7 linked regions of the Sus scrofa genome follow. Each later gene encodes a partner of the first gene's protein in a complex. Links are inferred from orthologs where the notes say so. Each region holds a gene or a part of one and is shown in the gene's direction. Other genes may lie near its edges. The genes, in order: INTS1, INTS2, INTS9, INTS4, INTS7, INTS6 and INTS12.

Region 1 (3,500 bases):
CCCTTTCTCTCTCATCCTCTGAACGGCCTCCAGTGGTAGCCAGGGTTGCCTGGCGTGTGGTTTCTGCGCGTTGGCACAGCCCCGTGCGGCAGGTACCGCGGTGTTGGGCTTTCTGGCGACGATGACGAACCCCACTGGACACGTGTTACCTTGCCCTGTTGCTGGCTCACAGGCGGGGGCGGGCTCAGCGGGGGGCACATGCCCAGAGCGCAGGGCTGGGCGCCCGGCCGCGGAGTGAGTGTGGTGGTCGCCGTGCCCTCCTGGGGGCACAGGCCGCAGAGGGGGGTGACTGAGGCCCACACGCGGATCTGAGCCGTTGCTGCCCTGGCCCTGACCCGTCCCATCGTGGGCTTGTGCGCCGAGGCCGAGCGCTCGACCCCTCGCGTTTCAGGTACCAGCCTCCGAACCTGGCCATCTCCACTCTCTACTGGAAGGCCTGGCCCCTCCTGCTGGTGGTCGCTGCCTTCAACCCGGAGAACATCGGTGAGCCCCTGTGGCCGGCGCGGTCCCCTTGCCGCCTTAGGGGCAGCGGGCTGGGAGGACCGGAGCAGCGCCGGGCTGGGACTGGGTGGTGAGCTGGCAGGGCACGGGCCTCGGGCCGGGGCTCCCCGCTGCCACCTGCTGTCCCCTTGCGCCCTAGGCCTGGCCGCCTGGGAGGAGTACCCGACGCTGAAGATGCTCATGGAGATGGTGATGACCAAGTGAGTGGCCGCCGCGGCCGCGGCCTCTCCCTCCTGCTGTGCCGCCCCCTCGCCGCGCGGGGCAGGGAGGGGATGAGGCGGCGCCGGGGGCTGCGGGGCCCAGGCCATCCTCCGCCACGCTCAGGCCACCACGGGCGTGGGGACGGTCGGGCTGACAACGGTGTGACGTAGGAGGGCTAGAGCAGAGGGTCCCGGAGCCAGAGGCGGGGTGACGGGATGGCGACACGGCCAGGCGGGTGGGAACGCGGCCTGGGCCCAGCAGCAGGGACCGCCTCTGGCCGGGGTGGGCGCCAGGCGCCAGGCCTGCCGCACCTGCTCCTCAGGAGCGCAGACAGCAGTCGTGGGGGCCTGTGTGCACAGCCGTGCCAGATGCCAGGACGGGGCGGGTGCGGGCCGTCTGCGCTTCTCAGAGGGACAACGCGGGTCGCCCCACAGTGCGGTGGCCAAGGGCAGAGCCCGAGGAGTTGTAATGTGAACCGGCATGTGACCACACACGTGCAATCGGCTTCAGCGTGGGAGGACTGGGTGCCTGCGGCCAGAGGCTGCAGACGGCCACCGCCTCGCGCATCTGCGGGCAGCCTCGTGGCCATCCCAGGAAGCTGGGTGGCTTTCGGAACATGTGGGAGCTTTCTGGCCGCTCGTGTCCCAGAAAGCCTCGAGTCGGTCTGCGAGCACCCAGCGTGCCCTGGGTGGGGAGCTCCCAATGTCCCCTGGACAGGAGTTGCCAGTGTGGACTGGATGAGGCTCCCAGTGTGCCCTGGACCACCTGCTTGCTGGCAACATCCCCAGGAGGGCACGCTGGGCATACCGTTCTGGGTCCAGGCTCCTGATGGCCAGGTGCGGGCTCTGCGGGATGCCCAGCTGCTTCCCAGAGGTCTGGCCTCGACCCCATGGCCCACGACCCCAGGGTCCCTCCTGTGGCCTGACGGCTCAAGCCGGGCGTGGGCCAGCGCGCGAGCTCTGATGCCTCCACTCGGGTGCTGTCTGCTGAGACGCTCCCTGCTCGGCCCCAGCAATTACTCGTACCCGCCGTGCACCCTGACGGACGAGGAGACCCGGGCGGAGATGATGAGTCGGGAGCTGCAGATCTCCCAGCGGGAGAAGCAGGAGATCCTGGCCTTCGAGGGGCACCTGGCGGCCGCGTCCACCAAGCAGACCATCACCGAGAGCAGCAGCCTCCTCCTGTCGCAGCTCACCAGCCTGGACCCCAAGTACGCACTGCACTGCGCGGAGCTGCGCGCCGGGCCTGGGCTGGGCACGGAGGGGGCGGTGTGGAGCAGCAGCCCCAGGCCAAGGCCACCGCTGTCCTGGTTCTCCCTGCGCCAGGGCTCAGGTGACACTGAGAGCCTTGGGCCGGCCTAGGGGGAGGGCTGCAGTCCTCACAGGGGTCCCCCCGCCCTCCACCCTCCCTCCCCCACTGCCATCCCTGGGGGTACTGCCCTTGTGACTCAGACACTCGTGTCGTCTGGGACTTTCAGAGGGCCCCCCCGGAGGCCTCCCCCCCACATCCTGGATCAGGTGAAAAGCCTCAACCAGTCCCTCCGTCTCGGGCACCTGCTGTGCCGGAGCCGCAACCCGGACTTCCTTCTCAACATCATCCAGAGGCAGGCGAGTCCGCAGCGGCTGGGGCAGAGGGGCGCTGGCGGGGTGCGCACGTGGGACACAGGGCTGCCACGGGAGGGCCCCACAGGTGGCAGGCAGGTGGGTCGGGAGGGGCCGTGGCAGGTCGAACCGGAGAGAGCCGTGCGACGCCGCCCTGTGCAGGCCTCGTCGCAGTCCATGCCCTGGCTGGCCGACCTGGTGCAGTCCAGCGAGGGCTCCCTGGACGTGCTGCCCGTGCAGTGCCTGTGCGAGTTCCTGCTGCACGATGCTGCCGACGAGCCCGCCTCTGCGGAGGAGGAGGAGGAGGGCGAGAGCAAGGAGCAGAAGGCCAAGAAGCGGCAGGTCGGTGCCTCCCCCGCCCCCCACCCCACCCCACTCCCGCGGGCCCGGCAGCCGGCCTCAGGTCGTCTGTCCCTGCGGAGGGCAGGTCGATGCCCCTTCCCCCCGCCCCAGCCCTGAGGCCCGCCTGAGGTCGCCTGTTCCTGCAGAGGCAGCAGAAGCAGCGGCAGCTGCTGGGCCGCCTGCAGGACCTGCTGCTGGGCCCCAGGGCCGACGAGCAGACCACGTGTGAGGTGCTGGACTACTTCCTGCGGCGCCTCGGCTCCTCCCAGGTGGCCTCCAGGGTGCTGGCCATGAAGGTGAGCCCGGGCCTGGCTGGCTGCCCCCGCCGTGGTCCTCTCTGTTGTGTTGGAGAGGCTTCCTCCCTGTTACTCTGGCGGATCTTCAGTCATGGAGGGGACCCAGTAGAACCCACAGGAACCAGAGTCCTTTCCCCTGTGGGCCCTTCCCTGGGCGGTGACGGGGACTCCCTGAGGGTGACTTGGGAGCTGTCCTGCCGCATCTCCGAGGTGCTGGTGACAGTTCTGCAGGGAAGCTGGCTTGGGCTGCTTCTGCTCTGGGCTCGTGGCAACGCCGGGCGGGCCCTCCCCGGGCCATGCGGGAGGAGGCGGGCCCCTGGCTGAGGGCCTGGCCCAGCGCCTGTCTGCTCGCAGGGCCTGTCCTTGGTGCTCTCAGAGGGCAGCCTGCGGGACGGGGAGGACAAGGACCCCCCGCTGGAGGAGGACTCGGGCGACTCGGACACGCTGCAGGGCTACCAGTGGCTGCTGCGGGACCTGCCCCGGCTGCCTCTGTTCGACAGCGTCAAGACCAGCACCGCCCTGGCTCTGCAGCAGGTGGGGGCGCCGGGTGGCGGGGCGG
Region 2 (4,013 bases), on another chromosome or scaffold:
CAAGGAACATGGGTGCTCCTTTAAATCCCTAAGTCTTCTAATTTCTAGAAAGTCATTTACTGGGCAATAACTTATGTAAAAGCACCTATGATGCCTGAGACTGGTTTTTTTTTGTTTGTTTGTTTTTTCTTTCTTTCTCTTTTTTTTTTTTGTTTCCTGGCTAAGTCTGCAGCATGTGATGGTTAGGGATGGAACCTGAGACACAGCAGCCACCCAAGCCGCTGCAGTGACAACGCCAAATCCTTAACTTTGCTGCACAAGAGAACTTCTCCTTTTCTTTTTAAATTTTTAAAATTTATTATTTTATTAAAGTATAGTTGATTTACTGTGTTGTGCCAGTCTCCTTTTCTTTCTTTCCCAACCTGATTGAAAATTAAGGTAGAAAAGAATAAATCAAAGCCATTCAGGGGTGAGAATGTTCACTTCATCCAGGACTTAGAGTATAGGAACTATATAACACATTTCATCAAACAAATATAAGACACCAGTAATTGTAAAACATTATTTCATGTACCACTAAGGAAAAAAATGCTGTACATACATATATACATACATGTATACATACATATATACATATATTCTTTTTTGGTGTGTGTGTGTGTGTTTCAGGGCTGCACCCATGGCACATGGAGGTTCCCAGGTTGGGGTCGAATTGAAGCTGTAGCCACCGGCCTACGCCAGAGCCACAGCAACGCGGGATCTGAGCCGCGTCTGCGACCTACACTACAGCTCACGGAAACGCCGGATCCTTAAGACCCACTAAGCGAGGCCAGGGATCGAACCCACGTCTTCATGGTTCCTAGTCGGATTCGTTAACCACTGAGCCAAAACGAGAATTCCTTGATGACTTTTTAAATTCTTCTACAAACCCAGGATTCCAGAACTTTGGTGCTGGAAGGGCACAGGCAGAGATGGAAAAGAAATGTATGCAGTCTGATTCCTTTCGTGTTCTGATCAATGAACAGTGGGGACAACTTTAACATTCCGTTTCCATACTAATGTACGTATTCATTTGAACGCCACGGTAGTCCTGTGACGATGAAACTGCACTTCGTAAGGACTTAATGATTTACCTTAAAAAGAGTCAGCTGGTAGGGTCTGGAAAGGAGACTGAAGACAGCTAGCAACCTGCTAAATCTTCTCGAGTGAACTTGGCAGAGCAAACCAAGGGGGAGGAAGGGGTGGGGCCGCGCACGCGCGCCGTTGCCTCTGAGCGACGTCTGCGGGTTTCCTTTCACAGCCAGCCACTCTTCCTCTCAGTCCAGTACGGTGGCCGACCGGAGCCAGACGCTGGGGATGAATGAAGGTGCTGTGTGCAGGTTGAAACGGTCTGCTCTGCTTTCCTCTCCCTTCAGTCCGGGCTCTGCCTTTGTGCAGGGTCCGCATCCAGCCCCTATCGCACCGCCGGACCAATGGGTTCTGGCGTCTGGGTTTTTGGTGTCCAGGTCGACTCAGGGCACAGCTAGGGTTGGGGAATCCGGATTATCGCCTAGGCCCAACTTCGGACCGCGCTCTCGATTTCTACCGCGTCCCGCCTCTAGAGCGTGGAATCCGGGTGGGGTCCCGGGAGGTTGGAGGGTAGATCTTAAGGTATGAAGCTTCCGCTTCTCAGGCTCTTAGAGCGTTCCGAGGTCCGTGTCCGCCACCGGCCCGACTTTTCTCAGCCAGAGGAACTGGTTGGTTCTCTTTACGCCCAGGGCGAGACCTATGAGCACACAGGTCTTGACGCCTCTGCTCTATCAGCCCGCCCCTCTGTTAAAAGGCCAGCTCCTCTTGCTAAAATTAAAAGCAAAACAGCATTTCTGCCCACGACTCTTTGTTATTTACGATTCTGCAGTTTTGTGGGTCTCAGAGGGGATGGCTTTGGCTACCTGCTACTTGCTGTTTTGTTTCTGATTACTCTTGAAGACAGAAAAGTGCCCAAGTGGGACTCAGCTTTCTCCCACAGCTAATTGCACCTCCACAGCTGTTTTGTTTTTGTTTTTGTTTTTTTAAACTTAGGAACACAGGAGGTATGGCATACTGTTTTTGTCTCCAGAGCGTTGAATCTGGCATTGCTTCTGGCTAGTGAGGCTATTTAATAGTGGTTCCACCGACTCGTGGAGGGTGGGAAAGAGAAGTCTAACAGTGCTTTACGGATGTTGGGTAGGCATGTGAAACGAAAGAGGAGCGTTCTTTACTATGCTGATCTTTTACTCTACGTTGTGGCACTCATGACTGGTATAGTGGAGAAAATATTGGACTGGGTTTTAGTAGATGAGAGTTCAGCGTTAGATTTTGCCACTGACTAGTAATACTACTCAGAGCCAGTTACTTAGTCCCTCGGGGTTTCATATTCCTTCTTTGCAAAATGGGAGTATTACAACAGAAGATCCCCAAGGCTGGAAGAGACGTTAATATACTCTGTTTTCTTTCTCATTTTCCAGATGGCAATAGAAACATAGGGAGCCTTTAATTGTGCCAGGAATATTGCCAGCGACTAGTCCTATTAACAAGAGACCACATTTTTCAGAGTTGTTAAAAAGAGAGGCATTCATGCATGTGGAGTTATACCCCTACTTTCTCTTTCTTTTCTTTTTCTTCATCTTCTTCTTCTTTTTTTTTTTTTTAACCACTAGGATCAACTGTGATAATGACCGAGTGTACAAGCCTTCAGTTTGTCAGTCCTTTTGCTTTCGAAGCAATGCAGAAGGTGGATGTTGTTCGTTTGGCATCTTTAAGCGATCCAGAATTAAGACTTCTCCTGCCCTGCTTGGTGCGGATGGCACTTTGTGCTCCTGCTGACCAGAGCCAAAGCTGGGCTCAGGATAAAAAACTCATCCTTCGTCTTCTTTCTGGAGTAGAAGCTGTCAATTCCATTGTTGCATTGTTGTCTGTGGACTTTCATGCTTTAGAACAGGACGCCAGCAAAGAACAGCAGCTTAGGTAATGTAATATCTAATCTGTGGCTTGGTATTTACTTGGATTTGCTAAAACAGAAAGAATCCAGTATTTTTATTTGTAATTAAAATTCTATGATCTTTTGAATTCCATCTTATAAAATGTTGTGCTGAGAACTTTGTGTGCACTTTGTATTCAGGGTAAGTCCTTAGGCCAGTTACTTTCAGTGGGAAAAGGGTGGGATAAGTTCCTCTGGAGTAGAACGATTTCCTGAAATCTCTTGGGAGGCTTTTTTAAGCTTACATTGATTCCCCCAAATTCTGGGCATATATTTTGTCCTTCTTTGCCTGTTGTGAAGCCAGTAGTGAGCCACTGTAGTTAATGAAAGTGGATATTAACTGTCAGTTGTGATGGAGTCTTTACATAGGTTGTAAATTCCTGAAATAGATGAACAACCTGAATAGGATTTTAGAAGTAATCCATTTATGAAGTATATGAAAAGAATTCATGCATTATTTTGTAGATGATGGTGATTATTTTTTATGGCCATACTCGAGGAATATAGAAGTTCCTGGGCCAGGGATTGATACCAAGCTGCAGCTGCTTGAAACCAAGCTGCAACTTCAGCCTTCTCCATGGCTGCAGCAGTGCCAGATCTTGTAACCCACTGCACTGGGCCAAAGATCAAACCCATGCTCGGTGACCTGAGCTGCTGCAGTCAGATTCTTAACCCATTGTGCCACAGCGGGAACTCCTAGATTATTTTTATGAGGTAATTTTCACCCTGTCATTTCTGTGCCAGTGTTTTTATAAATGTTGTGCATGTTTGTACTTTATCAGGCATAAACTTGGAGGAGGCAGTGGAGAGAGCATCCTGGTATCACAGCTTCAGCATGGACTGACTTTAGAGTTTGAACACAGTGATTCGCCTCGTCGCTTGCGTCTTGTGCTTAGTGAATTGTTGGCAATTATGAACAAGGTACATTTATTTTAACCACAGCTCAAAATATACATGATTTGATCTCTACACTTAGAAGGTAGAAGAAACAGGCCAGAAGGCAGCCAGGTTGCATCCTCTTGTACAATATTTCTGTTTTTTATGTAAGTGTTATCCTTTCAGAGGCTCAAAAAGT
Region 3 (3,931 bases), on another chromosome or scaffold:
CGTCTACAGTGCTCCTACCCTGAGTTTGGGGTTGGGATGTGTCCCTGGGAGGATGGGAGAAGGAGTGTGAGCGGGCGATGGGACACAAACGACTTGCTCCCCACGGCCACCCCGCGCCGCGGCGCCAGCCCAGAGGTCCAGGACCCGCACCTCGCGCACGCTTCTCCGCCCAGGCCCAGCTAAAAGCTCCGACTCCGTCTCCCGAACTTCCTCTCTAGAGACATTTATTCAAGGCTAACACATCACCCAAGTACACGTCACCCAGTTTCAAATACAGTTCTGCACCCCAAACAAACCCACACCTCAAATTCCCCTCACAGTTTCCCAAACTCCAAACAAGAGACCCCACCTCCAGGATTCAAACCTTCCGCCCACCAAGGAGGTAACCAGGAGGAAAGAGTTAGGGAGCAGCCGACGCCTTTCCATTTTCGCCCCCCACAAACTGCCCCACCCCAGACCCTGCGTCCGGGTCACCCCCCTCGGAAGCCCCACGCTTCCTCCCTCCTCTCAGTCGGGCCGCCTAAGAGACCCACCCCCGGCCCACTCACTTTCTCTCCCAAACCCCTCCAAAAAGAAAAAAGAAAAAAAGTGAAGAGAAAGAAGTGAAGAAAGAGACTTGAGGGAGCCCGCCTTCCAAATCGCTCGACTCACCTCAGAATCCTTGCTGAGTTCTCTCCGCCCGGCACAGCCCCCTCCCCAACGTCCCAGTACGAAGGGCTGAGGTAGGGAGGAGGGGAAAGCGGGAGGGGGAGGGGTGTCTTCCGCGTGGGGCGCCCGTCGGGAGGGGACTGGGGAGGGGTTGAGGCCGGCGCAGGAAGAGGAGAAGGGGGAGGGGAGGCCCCTATCTCCCAGTCTCCCCCTGAAAACCTCCCTTGTCTCAATCACATCAGACTGACTGTCTTTGTCTGGCTGACAACCGCCATATTGATATCAACAGCCCCGCTCCCACCTGCTGCCGCCGGGCGGCCCTGGGAGTTGTAGTTTCTTACTCCCTCGAGTAAAAGCGCGGGACTCGGCGCCCGGAGGCCCTGGGGGACTACAGCTCCCGGCAAGACCTGCGCCATTCGCCTTCCCACAGGGAGGAGGGGAAAGGGGCGCCAGAGTCGTAGGGACTACACATCCCAGAATACCGTGGGCTCTGGGCCCAGACAGGGGACATGATATCATGCTGGGATGGAGAGGGAGAATGATTTGGCGGCGGGGAAGAATTTGAGCCGAAGGAAGGAGGAAAGAGAGAAAAAGGAAAGATGACCACAGTTCCCATGATGCAAGAAGACAGGACTACATTTCCCATGATGCATCCGGAAGGGGGCGTAGGGAAGAAAGACTGCATGTCCCGCGATGCTCGAGGCTGGCGGGTGGCGGAGATTGAACCGGAAGAGGCTTTCTGGTTCTGAGGAGTCCAGTGACTGATATTGAACAACCTAAAGTCCAATATGAAATTGGTGAGTCTCTGCTCCTAGGTCAGAGGGCAAAGGTGATGCCATATCCTTTTGGACTTCGTCGTTTCCAACTTGTGGTGGGAACCGTCGCGGAAGAGGGGTGGCAGTTAGAGACTTAGAAAGTGGGGTGAACCAAGGAAAGCTGCTCCTTGTGGTTGAGTTTGAATCCCACCTCCCACCCCCGACCCCCAGATCTTATTTATCCCTTGGCGGCTCCTGTGGTTAGATAAGAGATTGACTCTGTCACCTTACTTCACACACGAACTGAGGTTGGGCTTTATGAACTAGGTTTGACTGATTTCACAGCTGCCATGTGAGTTTTATAATTGGTTAACTTCTTTCCACGCGATTGGCGTTTGATTAGCGTTTCTTACAGTTTTTGAAAAGGCTTTGGTTACATATGAGCAGAGTTTAGAAAATATTGGGCAGAGTAATCACTTAAGTTTTCTGTTATAGACTCCTAACTGTCTTTGATATTCAGAGAAGGACGAGATCATGGTATGGTATGATCGTGGAAGATTTAAGTTTTAAACCCTGTATAATATGGTTTAAGTGTCAAGGCATTCAGTCTAGGGCTGTAGGGACTGTATGAGCCAAGATTAGATGGAGCCTGCCAGGATACCTGGAAAATTCTCTGCATCACAAAACTCAAAACACTTGGCTTGTAGGGAGGCTGCTCAGGCCTTTATTTTGAGCCACGTTACTCTGTGTGCACACAGATTTAGCTACTTTAACTAGTTTATTCCAACTGTATGGTATTAGTAGAAAAGCAGGTGTGAGATGCTGTTTCTCAACCTCTTAAAATTCGCATTCCTGCAGCCAAGTGTTGTAAATCTTTACTTTCCTGTAATTTTAGTAGAAAAATAAAATGTGCATTTTCTTAATTGTTTGAGCATGCTTTTCCAAAGTGTGCAGCCCAGGCTGGTGCCTGCACACACACGCTAAGGGCCTGTGCTCTTCAGAGTTTCAGCTGTTTTCTGAGGAGTCAGAGAAATAGAAGTAGATTCAACACTAAAGCTGTTTAGGTAAGGAGAAGGACACAGATCAGTAAACCTTGAGGATATCAATTTGCTTCTGGGTCAGTTTTCAAGACATGTAAAAATGCCAAATTGAAAGTCACCACCCATATCCAAAAGAAGTGTGCAATGAAGAAGATACAAAAGTAATAAATGATATTTCACTGTTTTCATGGTAAATGGAAGCATGTTCAGTGTTTAGGGATTTAGAGGATGATGGGGGTTGGGGGAGTGGGAGACAGCTCTATGGAAAGGAGACTCTTTAACAGTTAAGCAAGGTGAGTAGGCTAGGGCTTTCCTTGAAGAGGGTTCAGCTTTAGAAGCAAAAGAGCTTTGCACCTGAGTGCTTGAAATAAAGACCATGTTTTCTTGATAAAGGATAAATCACATTTGGTATGTATGCTCGGTGCAGAGGCAGGAAAATGGAAAACAGTTCTTTTCCATAATAGCTCATTTGCTGAGGGTATCAGAGAGTTAGGGTTTAGTTTACATATGCTTTGGTTTGCTTATGAAATCCTCCTGCTTACCTCATTTAAAGAAGATAAAAAAGGGGGAAAGAGAAACTATTTTTCTTTCAAGAATCATAAAATGCCTTAGAGGAATAAGGTAGTTGATGATTCTGTGAGAATATCTATTGACACAGCAAAGTGTTTCAAGAACACTGACACTCAGTAAGCAGGCTTCTTTTTTGTATCATGCCTCCCATAGAGTTGGAATAAATTTTCCTAGGGCCTAAAAATTTTTAACTTTGTGTACTGCTTCCTGAATATGTGATAAACCATGTTTTGTATTTCTATCATGAAACACAGAAATATTTTTTATAGAGTACATTCTTGTTTTGGAGATTATGACTTCCCCAAACACCCTTCCCACGTACAATCTATGACCATATCTTGGTGATTCTGCAGTTCTTAAACTGGTCTGTTTCTCTCCAGTACCACCAATACAGCCTTTGTAGGGGCTCTTTTCACTTGACACTTGAAATTCAACAAAACCTTCTAACTGGTCTCCCACCCTCAAATCCATTCCCTACTCCATGCCCAGAAGTTGTTTTAAATTGCAGTGTTCCTTTAAAACCCTTTGGTAGCTTCCTTTGCCCTTAGGATAGTCTTAAAATTATTTTTTTGTTGTTCTGTTTTAGAGTTTTGTGGTTTTGGGGTTTTTATTTTTTATTTTTGGTTTGGGAGGGGTTTTTTGGCCGCACTTGCGGCATACAGAAGTTCCTAGGCCAGGGATCAGACCCAAGCCACAGCATTGTCAATGCTGGATCCTTAACCTGCTGAGCCACAAGGGAACTCCTTAAAATTCTTGACTTGACTTGCTTGATCCTGTAGATTCTGGCCCTGCTGACTTCTCCAGGCTAATGTCTAGCTCTCCTCTCTTGACCTCCTTGTTCCGTTTGTATTGTATGTCTTTCAGTTCCTTGAAGTCCGCCTGCTCTCTTTTGCCTCTGGGACTTTAAGTGTGTTCCAT
Region 4 (4,125 bases), on another chromosome or scaffold:
TCAAGAATGAGAAATATATGGTCTCTTGTGTTTTGTTTTTATTTGGCCACACCCATGGCATGTGGGAGTTTCCAGGACAGGGACTGAACCCAAGCCATAGCAGTGACAACAGAGGATCCTTAACCACTAGGCCACCAGGGAACTCCATGAGGTCTCTTTATCTTTTATCCAAGAAGGAGTCCTTGCTCCTGCCATATATATATATATATTTCTTTTTACAGCTGCGCCTGTGGCATATGGAAGTTCCCAGGCTAAGGGTCTAATGGGAACTGCAGCTGTGCTCTATGTCACAGCCACAGCAACACTGGATCTGAACTGCACCTGCACCTAAGCCGCAGCTTGAAGTAATTCTGGATCCTTAACCCACTGAGTGAGGTCTGGGATTGAACCTGCATCCTCACAGAGAAAAGGGTGAGTCCTTAACCTGCTGAGCCACAATGGGAGCTACTCTTATCATAATTCTTATCTTGAAGTATTTGTCCGCAGGGGACAGATTCCAGTTGCTCAGCCTGGACCCCATCTATCTCCAGCCTCACAGGAACAAAGGAAGGGCAGTCAAGACAGTTCAGTCATAAAAAAGTCCTAGTTCCTCTTCATGGGACATACCTAACAACCTGACACAAATCTTTTGAGTTTTGTAGTTAGTGCCCCACCCAGGTGGAGGACAGAATATTGATGTTGACCCTCTTAAGTCAACTAAAGCTTGAACTCTGTAGACCTTCGCCCCAATTCTGTGCTGAATTCTCCTCTGCTCAAGTGCCTTCATGAGTATGAATGTGCACGCTCCTTAGCTTAAGACTTCCTCAGTTTTGCTATTCAAAGAGACACCACTTTGGTAAAGATCCCTGGCATTCTTATTTGCTCCAAGTAATAAATCCTTCCTTCTTCCCCTCTTCGGCTCGGCTGTATCTTCTGGCTCCACACCCACCAAGGGGCGAACCCAGTTTTCGAGTAACAGCTTGACCAATAGGAGTGCAAGGGACACACAGACAGCCGACAGTGTCAACAGCAAAGGCTGATGGGAAGGTCAGCTTGCCCTCGCTCCCTCAATTCCAGAGGCAACAGCTTAAAGCAGCTCCAGGTTTTGCCTCTACCTCAAGATAGCTCCGCCTCTGCCCTTTCACCCTGTAGTACTTCCTCCCCCGTCTCCCTCCCTCCGCGGCGGTCCCGCCAGTCTCTCCGACGCCGAGACCGACCGCATGCCCCAGGACGCTCCCATTGGCTCCTCCAGGCAGAAGCCCCGCCCCCACGCTGCTATCTCGCTCTCCTTCCTCGGCGAACGCGGCGTAGGCGGCCGAATACAGCCTGGCCAAGGCAGAGCAGTAGAGCAGCAGGAAGCGGCCTCTCTTTCCGGGAACCCCACTGCCTTGTGGGATCGTGGCTGGTTCCTCCGGTCTGGGCCGGTTTTCCCGAATTCCTCCGCCCCGCCTCCTCGTCTGTACGGAAGCTGAGAGGGTCCGTGGGCAGCCATGGCGGCGCACCTGAAGAAGCGGGTGTACGAGGAATTCACTAAGGTGGTTCAGGTAAGCCCTGGAGGGAAAAGTCCCGGAACCCATTTGGGGTAGAGGAAGATTATCCGCGCCCCAGGCACTTTGCCAGAACGAGCGCCACAAAGCTGGGCTGAGTGCGGACTGCTTTGATAGACTGGACTACACTTTAGTGGGCGTGTTCGTTCGCCTCTGCTGCTTGTCATTATTAACATGTGCAGTCTGACACTACAGAAAATTTACAGTTTACAAAAATATATTATTCGTAATCTAATTTTATTCGTAGTACATCAGCATCTTCATTTTACAAATGAGGACTTTGAGGCTTCTGGAGGGGTGCGTGGACACAGCCAATTAGTGGCAGATTCTCTCCCGACTCCCGTTACAAAAAAAAAAAAAAAGCGCGCCTAAGGACAAGGTAGCTGTATGCGAAACTCCAAGAGATTGGAAGAGGAGTTTAAAGTCCTCGAGACTCAGATCAGGCGAGGGTCACAGGCTTTATAGGGATAGAACTTTCTGTTGATGGAACAGTTCATCAAGGAAGGAGGGCAATACCTTTTTCGTTTGGAGTTGTTCACGGACTGGTGGGCCAAGCCCCTGTCAGCAGCCAGTGATTCTCCGTGTATTTCCTCATTGATATTCCTAAAGTAGAGTTCGATATCAAGTCATACCTCATGTTGTGCTTCTCAGGCTTTGTGTATACAAATCACCTGGGGGTCTTGTTAAACTGTAGATTCTACTCACTAAGTAAATCGGGCGGGAGAGGTGAGGCAATAATCTGAATTTCTGACGAGCCCCCAATTGATGCATCCTTAGAGGCATAAGCTTGTAGAGTAGCAAGATTTAGACCATGCAGCAAGACACTGATCCTTAAGCATTTAATTTTTTCCTTTAGCAAAAGTTTATTGAGTAAAAGAGTTGTTATTGTGAGAGTTCCCGTTGTGGCTCGGCAGAAACGAACCCAACTAGCATCCATGAGACGCAGGTTCCATCCCTGACCTCGCCCAGTGGGTTAAGTAAGGATCCCGCGTTGCCATGAGCTGTGGTGTAGGTCGCAGATGTTGCTAGGATCCTGCATTGGTGCATAGGCCTGCAGCTCTGGTTTGACCCCTAGCCTGGGAACCTCCATGTGCTGCAGGTGCAGCCCTAAAAAAAAAAAAAAAAAAAAAAAAAAAAAGTTGTTACTGTGTATTAGGTAAATGGAAAGGTGCTGAGCTACAAAGTTCAGTGCACATTAAGTTCCATGTTCTTTAGGAGCTCACAGGCTGGTGGGAGATAGGGAACAGTATGTCTGTGGTTATAGTGCCAAGAGGTGATTGCATGAACAAATCAAGTCTGCCTCTCTCTTTTGCAACTACTCTTTATAGAAACTCCCTAGCCTTTATTATTGGACAATGTTCCTTCCAGCTGTATCACTGCCTTTTTTTGTTTTGTGGACACTTTGTGGCATATTCCCATTGTGTGTAGGGAATTGACTAACTTCTTATTCTTGTTTTTTCTTAAAAAACCTGACACGTTTTTGTTGACTCTTTTTTTTGCTTGTTTTTTAGGGCCACACCTGCGACATATGGAGGTTCCCAGGCTAGGTGTCGAATCAGAGCTACAGCCACAGCCACACAGGCTCCGAGCCGAATCTTTGACCTACACCACAGCTCATGGCAATGCCAGATCCTTAACCCACTGAGCGAGGCCAGGGATCAAACCCACAACCTCATGGTTCCTAGTCTGATGCGGTTCTACTGCACCACAAGGGAAACTCCGGTTGACTCCACTTTTATGTGAAATTAGTTTTCCTGAACTTTTAGAATGAGTCAGGATTCAGGAAAGCTTTTTGACTTCAGAGCTCCTTCTATGGCTTGCCTTTTAGGATTTCCTAACTCTGTTTCCTTGGGCGCTCTTAAAAAAATTGTGGCAAAATATACATACCAAAATTTACCGTTTTAACCATTTTTAATTGTACAGTTCAGTGGCATTAAGTGCATTCACTTTATTGTGCAGTGTCACTTCCTTTCTTCCAAACATTCTGTTGTTCCCACTTACCAAGACTACTCACCCCTCCTCCAACATGGCTAGTGTTTGCACCTCTCCAAACTTTTGTATCTGTTGTTTCTCTCTCTTTTTCTGGCTGCACCTGAGGCCTATGGGAGTTCCTGGGCCAGGGATTGAATCCCAGCTGCAGCTGCAACCCGTGCTGCTGCACCACAAGAGAACTCCTATAACATTTCTCTTACGTTGTGATCTTTTTTATATCTACCCACCAGGGCCTTACATAATCCCTGGAGTGACAGGTTCCCTTTCACGTGGACTTTTGGGCACTCATTCCATGCATCAAATATATCTAGATTGGTTCTAATTATGCATCATCCTTGGGAGAATTGAGAAAATAGTCACTTAGCTAATTGTATGTTTTCTGTGGTTCACACGAGGATCCCTGACTGAGAAAGACTGGTAGTAGGTCATCATTCCTATTTTACAGATGATAAAACTGAGAACCATCGCTTTGTCTCCAGGTGGCTTTTTTCCTGATTCATAGCACTGCTTTTTGTTTAGGCTAGGTCTGTCACCTAAATACATTATTTGCTATAGGGAAAACTATTTCCATCAGATGGGGCAAAGTTAAATTTGCAGTCTCTGTGTT
Region 5 (3,500 bases), on another chromosome or scaffold:
AGGCCGCCGCTGCGCCCGCATCCTCAGCTGTGCCACGCCTCCAGCTGCAGCAGGACCCTGGGCATCCATCGCCCCGGCCTCACAGGGCACTCAGCCCCCTCCCTCGCCTCCCCCGGTCACCACTGGAGGAAAAGTGGCTGGGGTTCTCCCCACACCACTGAACAGCTCGTGCGGAAGGGCCTGTTTGGAACTACATGGCTCGCCTCGGGTTGTAGCTCATTGCGTTTATCTTCTCTCCGGAGCTGTTGTGTGGCTAAAGAACTTCAGGCGTGTGTTACAGCAAAGCAGCTCGGCATGGTTTCTCGGGAGAAATAGGAGACCGAGTCCCTCGGAGTTACAGAGCGGGAGGCACGATCGCTAAAACGTATCCAAGGTTTGGGCTTCTGTTGGAGGTGCTGCCGCAGCTGGTTCAAGGGTAAGACCCTCATCCTGGGCCCTCCCGGCTTTCTTTCAGGGTAGTCACGACATGGCCGGAGAGCTGTACCAGAGCCTGCTGACGCAGGTCGCCTCGGAGCATCTCCACTTCTGGCTCAACAGTCTGAAGGAGTTCTCACACGCGGAGCAGTGCCTCACCGGCCTGCAGGAGGACGACGCTAGTTCAGCACTTTCTTGCATTGCTGAGTCCCTGAAATTCTACCACAAAGGGATTGCTTCCTTAACAGTGAGTCTTCCTCATTTTCCTTGGGCGGTGATGGCTTGTGTGAGGATGGTGTCCCTTTGCTTCCGGGGGCTGTCCCGTTTTCACCTTGAAAACCCTGCTAATATGTATGTATTTGGAAGTATTAAAATAAGACGTAGGACGTGACGGTAGGTCATGAACCCCTGCCCGACTTTTTAACGTTCATGGGTTGATGCACATTTATCATTTGGTTTTTTATCAAGTGTCCGATAGACACGTGGAGGGGAATTGCACAGTCCAGGCAGAAAGAATTAGCGGAGGTAGGATGCTCCCTTTCCAGACTGCTGTTGGGAAGACCGCAGCCTGGGTCGCTGCTGCCGCCAGACCCAGCCCTTCCCATCACTGGCGGCTACTCACTAAGAAACTAGAGCTTCTTGCTTTGTAAATAAAAAGCAAGTGATCACTTTTTACCCCTTGGTGATACCCTCTACTCCAAATGAACAACCAGCTGTATTTTCCATTTTTTTCTACCAAGAAAAAGAGATCAGATCCTTAACATTTTCTTGAAACTAGTTATAATCCTAAATAAGAGCCTGTTCCCTAAAATGAGCCTTTTCTCTGTTAATGTGAGGACTTTTTCCCCTTAAGAGTAAAGAGTTTAATCACCATTGAACACGTTTAAAGCATTGTCACACAACCTTAAAAATTGTATATATTTAGATAGGGCCGTAAAACTTTGGGTACCTGTGTATCTACCTTTTTCACTTATCACATAATGTAAACTGTCTTTTTACATTAGATAAATGTAATGTATCCAGAAAGAAACGCTTCAGAGTAGAACAGAGAATAAACAGACGTCACCGAAGAGACAGACTGTTCAGATGGCTGTGGATACACATCTTTTGAAGAATGATTTTGGAGGGAGCTGGGATTGATTGATGGCTGTTTTGGAACAGAAATATAGGGCATTCCCAGTGTGGCTCAGTGGGTTACAAACCCGACTAGTATCCATCCGGACGCAGGTTTGATCCCTGGCCTTGCTCAGTGGGTTAAGGATCCGGTGTTGCCATGCGCTGTGGTGTAGGTCACAGATGCAGCTCAGATCCCGAGTTGCTGTGGCTGTGCCGTAGACCAGCAGCTGGAGCTCCGATTCGACCCCTGGCCTGGGAATTGGGAACCTCCATGTGCCATAGGTGCAGCCCTAAAAAGGAAAAAGACAAAACAAAAAACAGGAATGTAGGAATGGCTCCTCACCGTTTTAAGGGGTAACTTTAACTACATGATTCTCTCGTCATGATTATCAAAACTCGTAAGAGTTTGTTGTTGCCTATTTCAAGCTAATAAATAGCTCAGAAAGTCAAAGAATAGTTGTTGGCGCCAATCAGTAGAATTATTCTATTTTCTAATTTATGTGGAACAAAAAATTGTTAATGGTTTAACAGTAAGTGGTGCAGTAAGTGGTAAGAACTGAGAGAGAGATTCACAGAACAGTGAGGCAGATGCAATTAATATTAAGAAAAACTCCATTGCACATTTAATGGTCATTTAATGGTTTGTGTGCTCTCAGTATTTAAGGAGGCTTGGCAGTAGGTAAGGGCTGGATTCTGATGTAGGAGGACCGCAGTGGGCTGTCAGAAGGCCCTTGTGTCCGTCTCCGTTCAGCCGTTCGCGCCATGTGACCTAAGGCAGGTTCTTGGGCCTCAGATCACCTCTTAAAACGGAGTTGCTTTATTCAGCAGACTGTGAGCACTGGCTATGTGCCAAACCCTGCTTTGAGGAGTCAAAAAAGAGGTCCAGAGATGACGATGTGCTTGAGAAGAATCCGGGGGGGGAGGCAGTCTGATCCTTACTGTTGTTTGGAACCTCTCTCAGTTCTGAGTATACCGCACTCTCGGGATTTCCGCAAGATTTTTAAAAAATCTCTCTGACAAGTGAGGACCTGATGGTGACTTTCCCCTTTTTAATCGAGATGGTGTGAGCATGACTCACCCTCTCACTCCTTGACACCTGAATGAGCTGACCCGAGACTCAGCTGTGAGGACTGTATTTTTACCTACTTCAGCCAAGCCAAACAGAAGTTAAAGATTCCATGCTTAGAGGGACTCTATAGCAGTGTTGGGTGTCTGAATTTCCCCATACAGTGATTAATGCTGGTGTTATCTTGCTTCTTAGGAATATAAATTATAAAAAGCGTTCATATTAGCTTTCTGGGCTATGTAAAAAATTACTATAAATTTAGTGGCTTAAAACAACACCCATTTACTATTTTACGGTTTCCAAGGGCCCAGGTGTGACTTCGCTGGGGCCTCTGCTCATGTTGTCACGAAGTTACTGTCAAGGTGTTGTTCAGAGCCAGTTTTGTGTGAAGCCTGGACTCAAGAGTCCTCTTTTGAACTCATGCAGTTGTTGGCAGGATTCAGTTCCTCACAGCTGTAAGACCTGAGGAAACTTTAAGGCCAGCAGGGGAATCTCTTACCTTCAAGGCCCTCTTTTAAAGAACTCAACTGATGAAGCGAGATCTACCCAGAATAATCTCCTTTTTGATTAGTATAAAGTCAGCTCGTTAGGGACCTAAATTAGCTTCTCAAAAATAGATTGCCTTTGGAGTTTCCATTGTGGCTCAGTGGGTTAAAAGCCTGACTAGTATCCGTGAGGATTCGGGTTCACTCATGAACCAATCCCTGGCCTCACTTAGTGGGTTAAAGGATCTGGCATAGTCTTTTTTTTTTTAATTTTTTTTGTCTTTTGTTGTTGTTGTTGTTGTTGTTGCTATTTCTTGGGCCGCCCCCACTTCATATGGAGGTTCCCAGGCTAAGGGTCCAATCGGAGCTGCAGCCACCGGCCTACGCCAGAGCCACAGCAACGCGGGATCCGAGCCGCG
Region 6 (3,235 bases), on another chromosome or scaffold:
TTGTGGCATGTTGAAGTCCCTGGGCCAGGGACTGAATCTGAGCTGCAGCTGAGGCAATGCCAGATCCTTAGCCCACTGTGCCACAGTGGGAACTCCTTAGATCAGTCTTGAACAACATACGAGCTATGTAAGATTTGATTCTTTATTCAGCTTACAAGTACTGAATATCTGCTGTATCCAAAGTACTGTGTTAGGCATGGGAAGGAGGAGGGGCTGAGAGCAGAGGAGGAGCACATGGATAAGTTACACACGGGGCCTCCCATGACGGGAAGCCATAGTCTCGTGTATTCTTCCAACCAGCAACTGGAATTTTAATGTAACAGCAAACCCAAAAAGATTTAGTCAATTTTAAATGACTTCATAGCTGTGACATTCCTGGCGGAGAACCTACACACCATCTTAACTTTTAAGATTTAAACTATAATAGTGATCAGGGATATGTTTAAGGCCAAAAGCTAAAATTACGAACGCTATTATCTCAGTACAAAAGAACTCGATGAGGTAAAATTTCAGTATTGTTGACTTCATTCAGAAGATGCTGACAGATCACCTGCTCTGATGGTCTAGTGACCCAGGCGTGGTCCCTAAGTGCATAAGACTCAGTACTTGCCATTCAGGAGCTCATAGTCCTTGGCAGAGTTTTAAGGGAAAACCTGAACTGAGATAGCACTCTTAACCTGTTTTGTTTTGTAATGTTTTTTTCCTTTATTTTATCCCCCTTCCCCACTGCAGGATGGCTGTAATTTAGAATTTAAGCTTTAAGGATAGATTTTTGTAAAGGCCACTTCTTATTTTTAGTGGCACTACCAGAAAGCTATTTATTCATCCTTCTAAACTTTATGCTTAATACCTTAACAAGAACTGTTACCAAAAAAGCAGTATTTAACAAATTATTTTATCTTTGTTGACATGTGATAAAATATATGTATTGTAAAATCTCTAATGAGCAGTGAAATTTTATGTAGACTGTTTTTGGTTTTGTTTTAGTATATTTTGATCTAATAAATTGCAATAGAAAAATACTGAATTAGAGTGCAAAGGAAAAGCCACTTAATTTTTCCGTTTGCTTCTCTTGTTTTAAGAATATGAAAGAATCTTCACTTTACTGAAGCATGTGCAAGGCAGTTTACAAACAAGACTAATATTTTTACAAAATGTCATTAAAGAAGCATCAAGGTAAATAATCTGTTGTACACTCTGATATGGTGAAATGAGCCCCCAGTTTATATAGTTGATATTTTAACAGTGTCTATTTTATACTTGTTATGAATGTATATGACACACCATGTGTATATAAGCACTTCTCTCTTCTTTTCAGTTTATTGAAAAAATAGCCACAGACAAATTCTCCAGAAATCATGGACCCTTTCTCCCTACACAGTATATAGATACTTGCATAATTCTTCTTAATTGTACTCTGTGGCTTTTTGGTGTCTTTATATTTTATAGTCTTTAATTTTTCTCCTTTGTATATTTAAACTACAGTTAATATTAATTAGTGATGAAAAATAACCTTGAAAGGCAGTATCTGAATGCAGTTCACTTGTACGTGGGAAAACATGTAATTAAGGGGACCAGAGCTGGACAAATGGGCCTTATTCTGATCGCTTCAGTAGCCCAGGGTTATGCGCTTTTAGTACAAGGAATGTGGATCAAGATTATAAATGGTAACTCTGAAGTGCAGTTCACTGGAAAGCATAGTTGTATGAGTTTAGAAAATAAAAAGACTTCTAGAATTTTTAGTAAGAAAACTTAGAGCTTATCTCATCTGACCTTCCCAAATTCCCACCCTTTAACAAGTAACCCAGTTTCTTCCATGCTACATGTAGTCTTTTTAGATAAAGCCATTATTTTCCCCCCCATGAATGACTAGAACATAGGTTACTTTGAATTTTCAAGATAAGGCCATAACTTTTCGTATTATTTATTTTGAGTATTTGACCTAGTCTGCTCTTTATGTAACATTCTGTCAGCTCGTACTTCATCACAGATTTAGCCGTATTCCTGGTGCCTGAATTCTATGTCTGCCACCTTGCCACCTTTTAGAGAGTTGTGTGGTATTATGGTGGTTAGTCATATTCGTTTGCAAGTAGAGAGGAAGTAAATATAGATGGGGCAGTGTTTTGGGCATTCTGAAAAGCATCAGAAGTAGTAATACTTAATGTAGACAAAAGCAGTTTCAGTCTACTATATTCATTACTAAAATTTTTAAATTTCCACTTGAACTTTACTTTAACTCTTTACTGTATCCTCTACTAGAGACCTCTCATTGTCCTTGATTTGCTAGTTAAGTTGTAATAATAGAACGCCATGGTTTAAATGCGAGAGCCCAACTTTCATTTCTTCCATTTTATGGGGGAATGTATTCATATTTTGTTCACATTCCTTTTTTAACATTCAGCTTTCAAAGAGCATGAGAAACTGCTTTTGGGAGCCCAGATTTCACTGGAATATTTATTTATATTTATAACTCTTGTATTTATTAGGGTTTCTCCCCCTTTTTCTTTTTGCTTGTGAAAGGAATAATCTCTTTCCCATTATAACTAGGGCTAGACTGTTTGTTTTAGGTACAAACTTATAATACTGTACTGATAACATAATTTGCTAATCTTCCAAAAGATTTTGTATATCACTTTGAAAAATCTTCCCAAGGTAGTTTCTCTCTTTAAAGAAAATTATACTGACATATAACTATTTGTTTAAAAAGAAACTGAGAGCTTTGTTACTTCATTTTTTTACAGGTTTAAAAAACGAATGCTAATAGAACAACTGGAGAACTTCTTGGATGAAATTCATCGAAGAGCCAATCAGATCAACCACATTAACAGCAATTAAAAGAAAACAGAATGTGGCCACTTATTTCACTACCTTCTCCAAATACAAAGTAAATACAAGACTGTTGTGATCTTGCATTCATTTTTTGACATGCATTGTTGGCTTTTTGAAATACTAAGAGCAAGTCTACAGATCCTTTTTCCATCATTTTACAGTGACCTTTTCTTCATTTTGGTTTATTTTTGTAATGTGAAAAGTATCACTCTAAAAAACATTTTTATTTAACAAACTAAAAATACTCCTCCAAATCTCTTGCTTGTCATTGACTCTTGCGTGTCAATTTCCCTCAGGTTCTATTTTCTTAAACCAACCTTTAAAACTGTCACCTCTGTTAAGGTTGAACTTTGCCAAAAAAATAAAAAAGAAGTTACTTTGTAATTTTTGGGGAAAAAGCACATAC
Region 7 (4,181 bases), on another chromosome or scaffold:
TTCCTAGATAAGCTTAGAAAAATGTAAACATACTCTACCTTTCTTAAATAATTTAGCACAAGATCTATTATTAAATGTTGGCAAGAACTTATGACAAGGAATGGGCTCCCGGCATTAAGAGATCATGACCTTAAGAGTATCGGCGGAGTTCCCATTGCCGCGCAGTGTAAATGAATCTGACTAGTATCCATAGGATATGGATTCAATCAGTGGGTCGCAGATCCCACCTTGCCCTGAGTGGTGGTGTAGGTCACAGACTTTGCTCGGATCCTGAGTTGTTGTGGATTAGGCTGGTGGCTATAGCTCAGATTCCACCCCTAGCCTAGGAACTTCCATATGCCTAGACTGTGGCCCTAAAAAGCAAAAAAAAAAAAAAAAAAAAAAAAAAAAGGGGGGGAATAAGGGGAAAAGGAGTTCCCGATGTGGCTCAGCAGTAACGAATCCGACTAGTGTGCATGAGGACACTAGTCTGATCCCTGGCCTCAGTGGGTTAAGGATCCCATTGCTAGGGCTGTGGTGTAGGTCGGCAGCTGTAGCTTCCATTGGACCCCTAGTCTGGGAATTACCATATGCCAAGGGTGTGTCCCTAAAAAGCCGAAACAAACAAACAGTCACCTAATCCCAAACCAAGTAGAATTGGTGTGGGAAGTACGTGTATTAGTAAACGTTTCTGAAGTAAAAGCAATTTTCATGCAAGTTAAACCCAAACTTTCTATAGGAGTTTAAACCAAAGTGAAACGCTACTTTGATGGTAGTGCAGAAACAAATCGCCCAAAATGTAGGGGGTTCTTTGGAGCAACTGTTAGGTAGTATTCACATACTACTGCTTTCTCCAATGAGGAAGGGCTGGAATAGAAAACTCAGTAGAAAAAAAGATAAAAGTTAAAAGAGTGACCCAAGAGGTCTTAACTACACTTAGCAGCAAATGGCGAACGACCGAACAGACTGCTGCAACTGGAAGCTGCTCCTTTCCCCTTCAGTAAATGAAGCCATGGGGACTGGCCCTGGAAAAATTGCGAAGGGGCCCGGACCCCTCCACTCTTCCCGCCCTTCTTCGCATCGTCAACCCTGCCGGTCCCTGGATGAAAGAGGAGTCTTTGCAGGGTCTTGAGGACTGAGGAGCCGGCGGCGCGAGCGCCCTCCTTACCTGGTCGCAGAGGCGCGGCCAGGCAGGGAGGGTGCGTGAACGTGTCAACACTGGCCGCCAGCGCATTCCCGCCCCGCCCGAGCCGGGTTTCCCGAGGTCGCTTTAGGAAGTCTTCGCCTGCAGACCGCTCGCAGCTCCACGCGGCAGGGAAAAAAACAACAGAAGCAGCGCCGGGGAAACAGCAGCACCTGCCGTCATTCATAATCCGGCGCACCGGAAGAAGGTGGTTACGTCACTTCCTCCCGTCGCACAGTGAAAACGTTCCCCAGTCGACCCTGCTGCGGGAACTTTTGTTTTTCCGCTCTCCCGGCGGGCTAGTGCTGGGACCTGTTCGTCAGGCCACCGGGAACGGACGGAGCAGCGGGGCGGAGCGGTGAGTTGCGACGAGCCCCTCGGTTCCCAGCCGCCTCTGGGAGGCTTGAGACCTCCGCGAGGGGTGAAGTGGGACGGTAGTACTGTGCGGTCTTAGTTTCCTCGCCTCTTGTGAGGAAACTCATAATTTGCAGGCGGTCGAATGCCCAGTCTGACCATTCTCCCCTTACAGTTGGGGTCGTGCTTCCCCCGAAGGTTTTGCAGGCTGGGGTCAGCGGACCGAGGTTACAGCCCCAGGGATTGGGACCTTGGAACCCTGTCTCGGACCTTCCTCGGAAGGTTTTGGCGACTTCTCTGTGCAGCTCCCTCTGCCTCCTCTCATCTTCATTGGGCTCACTTGTCAAGACCCTTCCCGATGTTAGGCCTTCGGTGGGTCTTGCCTTTGATCAGAAGATTGATATTCCTTTTCTGAGTGTCGTTTTTCAGATTTTCTGTCGGTTGGTTGGTTTGGAATTAGGTTCTTTCCGCCTGTTGTCGTTTCCGGATGTGTGCCTAAGGTCATCAGTGTAATCCAGGGCCAAGATCCAGGAGGAATAAAAAGGGCAGTATCTTTAAAAGGGTATTTATTAGGATGAGTTGCATGAGTTTGCAAAGGGCAAAGCTTTCTAGAGCCGTTATTGAGGTGGCAACCCCAATATTGCACTCTGCCTGAATAGGTTCAGCTTCCTTCATCTCGTGCACGTGAAACTCCAACTTTGGACTTCTTTTAATGTTAGCTTGTAAGATAGATAATGGGATCTAGAGGAAAGCATATATTTATATATGAATACCCAATTTAGGTTGGAGAAATCACAGAAGCCCTAGAAAGTGACATTTAAAAAAACCCTAGTGCATTCACTCAACAAATATTTTTGAGAATATGTTAAATTCCAAGCACTAGGTATGTAACAGTTCTGAATAAAAGAATTCCCTTCTTGCATGGAGTTTACAGTCTAGTGGGGTTAATGAATTTAAATCACATGGAGGATTGGGTAGAGAGTAATGCAGATAGGAACATTGTACAAATCCCATGTCATGAAAAAGGTGTTTTCTGCTTTGTATTGTTTTTGCTTTTTTGATATTTGAGGGCTTGAGGTGGGATTGGGGGTGGGAGGAGTCTGGAGGGTGGTAATAGCTTTGAGTTTCTTTTTTGTTGCTTATTGCAGAGGGACTTTGGAAATGATTAGAATTGTGTAGAAGGAAAAAAACTATTATCCTTTGATCTCTAATAATTCTTTGGCCATTATTTTTTGGTACTTTACAAAATACAAACGTGATGGTAAAAAGATAGCCTTTCCCCTTAAAGTAGTCAGAGATTTATAGAGAATATAACAAATGTGCAAAAAAAAGAAAACAGAAAAAAAAAGACTGTGGTTCAAGGTAGAAAGTTCCAGTACCTTGAGAATGCACTCCAAGATTTCCCAGGGGAGGGCAAGATTATTATTATTATTATTTATTTATTTATTTATTTATTTATTTTTGTCTTTTGTCCTTTTAGGTCCGCACCAGCAGCTTATGGAGGTTCCCAGACTAGGGGTCCAGTCGGAGCTGTAGCTGCAGGCCTCCACCACAGCCACAGCAACGCCAGATCCAAGCTGCGTCTGCGACCTATACCACAGCTCACAGCAACGCATGATCCTTAACCCACTGAGCGAGGTCAGGGATTGAACCCGCAACCTCATGGTTCCAGTTCAAATTCGTTTCCACTGCGCCACGACGGGAATTCAGCAAGATTATTAGTATTATTGGGTGAGTAGGGTCCTCATCAGTACCCTCATGGGTCTTGATAGGATATGGAAATATGAAAATGGGTAAAAAAGCTCTCCAGACAGAAAAAAAATTGAGAAGTAGCAAGTCCAGCTAATGATTCTGGTCTATGGGAGATCTGGAGATGAAGAATTAGTTTTTGTGCCAGTTATTGAGTCTTTTTTTTGGGGGGGTGCACACCTGAGGCATATGGAGGATCCCAGGCTTGGGGTCGAATCGAAGTTACAGCTGCCACATTATGCCACAGCCATAGCCACACAGGATCCAAACTGAGTCTGCAACCTACACCACAGCTCACAGCAACACCGGATCCTTAACCTGCTGAGCGAGGCCAGGGATCAATCCTACAACCTCATGGTTACTAGTCAGATTAGTTTCCACTGAGCCAGAATGGGATCTCCTACTGAATCTTTTTAAATGCTAGGCCAAGAAGTTAGGCTTTATTTTAAAGGGAATGGGAAGTCTTAATTTTTGAGGAAGAAAGGAAGCAGGGAGGGAGGAAGAAGAAGGAAGGGAGGGAGGAAGGGAGATAGGGAGATGTGTTAACAGGAACATTAATATGGCAACAGTATTGAAGTCCAAGACAATCACTAGATTATTGCTACAGTGCAAAAAGCTGATAAAGACCTGAATCTGAGTAGTAGCAGTGGAAATGGAAAATAGCAACAAATGTGAGAAATGTTGAAATATAGGAATTGGGGAGGACTCAGGCAAAAATGTAGGCCTCAGGCCTGATTAACGGAGAGTATGTCATTTATTGAAAGAAAGTGCGGAACAAGGAACTTTGGGGTAGGAGATATTCATAATCTCAATTTCAGTCTTTATTGAATTTGAGAAACCATTGGGACAATTAGGTAGACATGTCTACTAAGCAATTAGAAATATGGGGTTTGAGCTTAAGAGAGATCTGAGTGGG

Evidence for each region.
Region 2: the proteins of INTS1 (region 1) and INTS2 are in contact, whole or in part, in a cryo-EM structure (PDB 8RC4), measured with the Homo sapiens proteins. The link is inferred for Sus scrofa from reciprocal best matches to the Homo sapiens genes INTS1 and INTS2. Residues at the interface, in NP_001073922.2 of Homo sapiens: Gly561, Ile562, Ala563, Trp564, Asp565, Lys566, Gly567, Ser982, His1055, Met1056, Thr1058, Pro1060, Glu1095, Arg1096, Thr1098, Ile1099, His1102, Leu1107, Arg1225, Ser1250, Phe1251, Gly1252, Ile1253, Tyr1285, His1288, Glu1291, Val1292, Gln1293, Glu1295, Arg1296; in NP_065799.2 of Homo sapiens: Pro40, Leu54, Lys69, Leu72, Arg73, Leu75, Ser76, Gly77, Val78, Glu79, Val81, Asn82, Val85, Gly125, Thr127, Leu128, Glu131, His132, Glu166, Val172, Tyr173, Glu176, Arg322, Gln325, Gln326, Arg329, Gly400, Lys402, Thr769, Met772.
Region 3: INTS1 (region 1) and INTS9 share a complex: the UniProt entries of both Homo sapiens proteins name them as parts of the integrator complex. The link is inferred for Sus scrofa from reciprocal best matches to the Homo sapiens genes INTS1 and INTS9.
Region 4: INTS1 (region 1) and INTS4 share a complex: the UniProt entries of both Homo sapiens proteins name them as parts of the integrator complex. The link is inferred for Sus scrofa from reciprocal best matches to the Homo sapiens genes INTS1 and INTS4.
Region 5: the proteins of INTS1 (region 1) and INTS7 are in contact, whole or in part, in a cryo-EM structure (PDB 8RC4), measured with the Homo sapiens proteins. The link is inferred for Sus scrofa from reciprocal best matches to the Homo sapiens genes INTS1 and INTS7. Residues at the interface, in NP_001073922.2 of Homo sapiens: Leu1378, Gln1381, Gln1382, Gly1385, Gln1386, Ala1389, His1429, Phe1430, Leu1431, Cys1433, Pro1434, Arg1437, Gln1438, Cys1440, Gln1441, Pro1476, Ala1479, Gln1480, Met1483, Leu1484, Gln1487, Arg1552, Pro1554, His1555, Leu1556, Glu1557, Glu1558, Pro1613, Ser1614, Gly1616; in NP_056249.1 of Homo sapiens: His150, Asp151, Leu187, Ala188, Thr189, Pro190, Val191, Lys194, Thr223, Ser224, Tyr225, Pro226, Ser227, Thr228, Asn262, Asp263, Pro264, Arg265, Lys266, Pro303, Tyr304, Gln349, Glu350, Cys352, Tyr353, His354, Asn355, Arg357, Ala360, Gln384.
Region 6: INTS1 (region 1) and INTS6 share a complex: the UniProt entries of both Homo sapiens proteins name them as parts of the integrator complex. The link is inferred for Sus scrofa from reciprocal best matches to the Homo sapiens genes INTS1 and INTS6.
Region 7: INTS1 (region 1) and INTS12 share a complex: the UniProt entries of both Homo sapiens proteins name them as parts of the integrator complex. The link is inferred for Sus scrofa from reciprocal best matches to the Homo sapiens genes INTS1 and INTS12.

Annotation. Positions count from the first base shown.
Region 1 is NC_010445.4:992,085-995,584, reverse strand, and holds part of INTS1 (integrator complex subunit 1), read left to right. Parts: intron 1-391; coding exon 392-483; intron 484-640; coding exon 641-701; intron 702-1,714; coding exon 1,715-1,912; intron 1,913-2,179; coding exon 2,180-2,309; intron 2,310-2,465; coding exon 2,466-2,645; intron 2,646-2,791; coding exon 2,792-2,941; intron 2,942-3,295; coding exon 3,296-3,475; intron 3,476-3,500. UniProt on the Homo sapiens protein: Component of the integrator complex, a multiprotein complex that terminates RNA polymerase II (Pol II) transcription in the promoter-proximal region of genes.
Region 2 is NC_010454.4:36,433,180-36,437,192, forward strand, and holds the start of INTS2 (integrator complex subunit 2), read left to right. Parts: upstream 1-1,213; 5' UTR 1,214-1,300; coding exon 1,301-1,319; intron 1,320-2,618; coding exon 2,619-2,925; intron 2,926-3,720; coding exon 3,721-3,859; intron 3,860-4,013. UniProt on the Homo sapiens protein: Component of the integrator complex, a multiprotein complex that terminates RNA polymerase II (Pol II) transcription in the promoter-proximal region of genes.
Region 3 is NC_010456.5:12,689,641-12,693,571, reverse strand, and holds the start of INTS9 (integrator complex subunit 9), read left to right. Parts: upstream 1-1,131; 5' UTR 1,132-1,436; coding exon 1,437-1,445; intron 1,446-3,877; exon of another isoform or gene 3,878-3,931. UniProt on the Homo sapiens protein: Component of the integrator complex, a multiprotein complex that terminates RNA polymerase II (Pol II) transcription in the promoter-proximal region of genes.
Region 4 is NC_010451.4:12,429,471-12,433,595, reverse strand, and holds the start of INTS4 (integrator complex subunit 4), read left to right. Parts: upstream 1-1,325; 5' UTR 1,326-1,469; coding exon 1,470-1,523; intron 1,524-4,125. UniProt on the Homo sapiens protein: Component of the integrator complex, a multiprotein complex that terminates RNA polymerase II (Pol II) transcription in the promoter-proximal region of genes.
Region 5 is NC_010451.4:131,331,030-131,334,529, forward strand, and holds part of INTS7 (integrator complex subunit 7), read left to right. Parts: intron 1-454; coding exon 455-661; intron 662-3,500. UniProt on the Homo sapiens protein: Component of the integrator complex, a multiprotein complex that terminates RNA polymerase II (Pol II) transcription in the promoter-proximal region of genes.
Region 6 is NC_010453.5:16,462,276-16,465,510, forward strand, and holds part of INTS6 (integrator complex subunit 6), read left to right. Parts: intron 1-1,082; coding exon 1,083-1,176; intron 1,177-2,741; coding exon 2,742-2,835; 3' UTR 2,836-3,235. UniProt on the Homo sapiens protein: Component of the integrator complex, a multiprotein complex that terminates RNA polymerase II (Pol II) transcription in the promoter-proximal region of genes.
Region 7 is NC_010450.4:116,030,483-116,034,663, forward strand, and holds the start of INTS12 (integrator complex subunit 12), read left to right. Parts: upstream 1-1,381; 5' UTR 1,382-1,520; intron 1,521-4,181. Other genes in the region: GSTCD (glutathione S-transferase C-terminal domain-containing protein), read right to left, coding at 1,148-1,349. UniProt on the Homo sapiens protein: Component of the integrator complex, a multiprotein complex that terminates RNA polymerase II (Pol II) transcription in the promoter-proximal region of genes.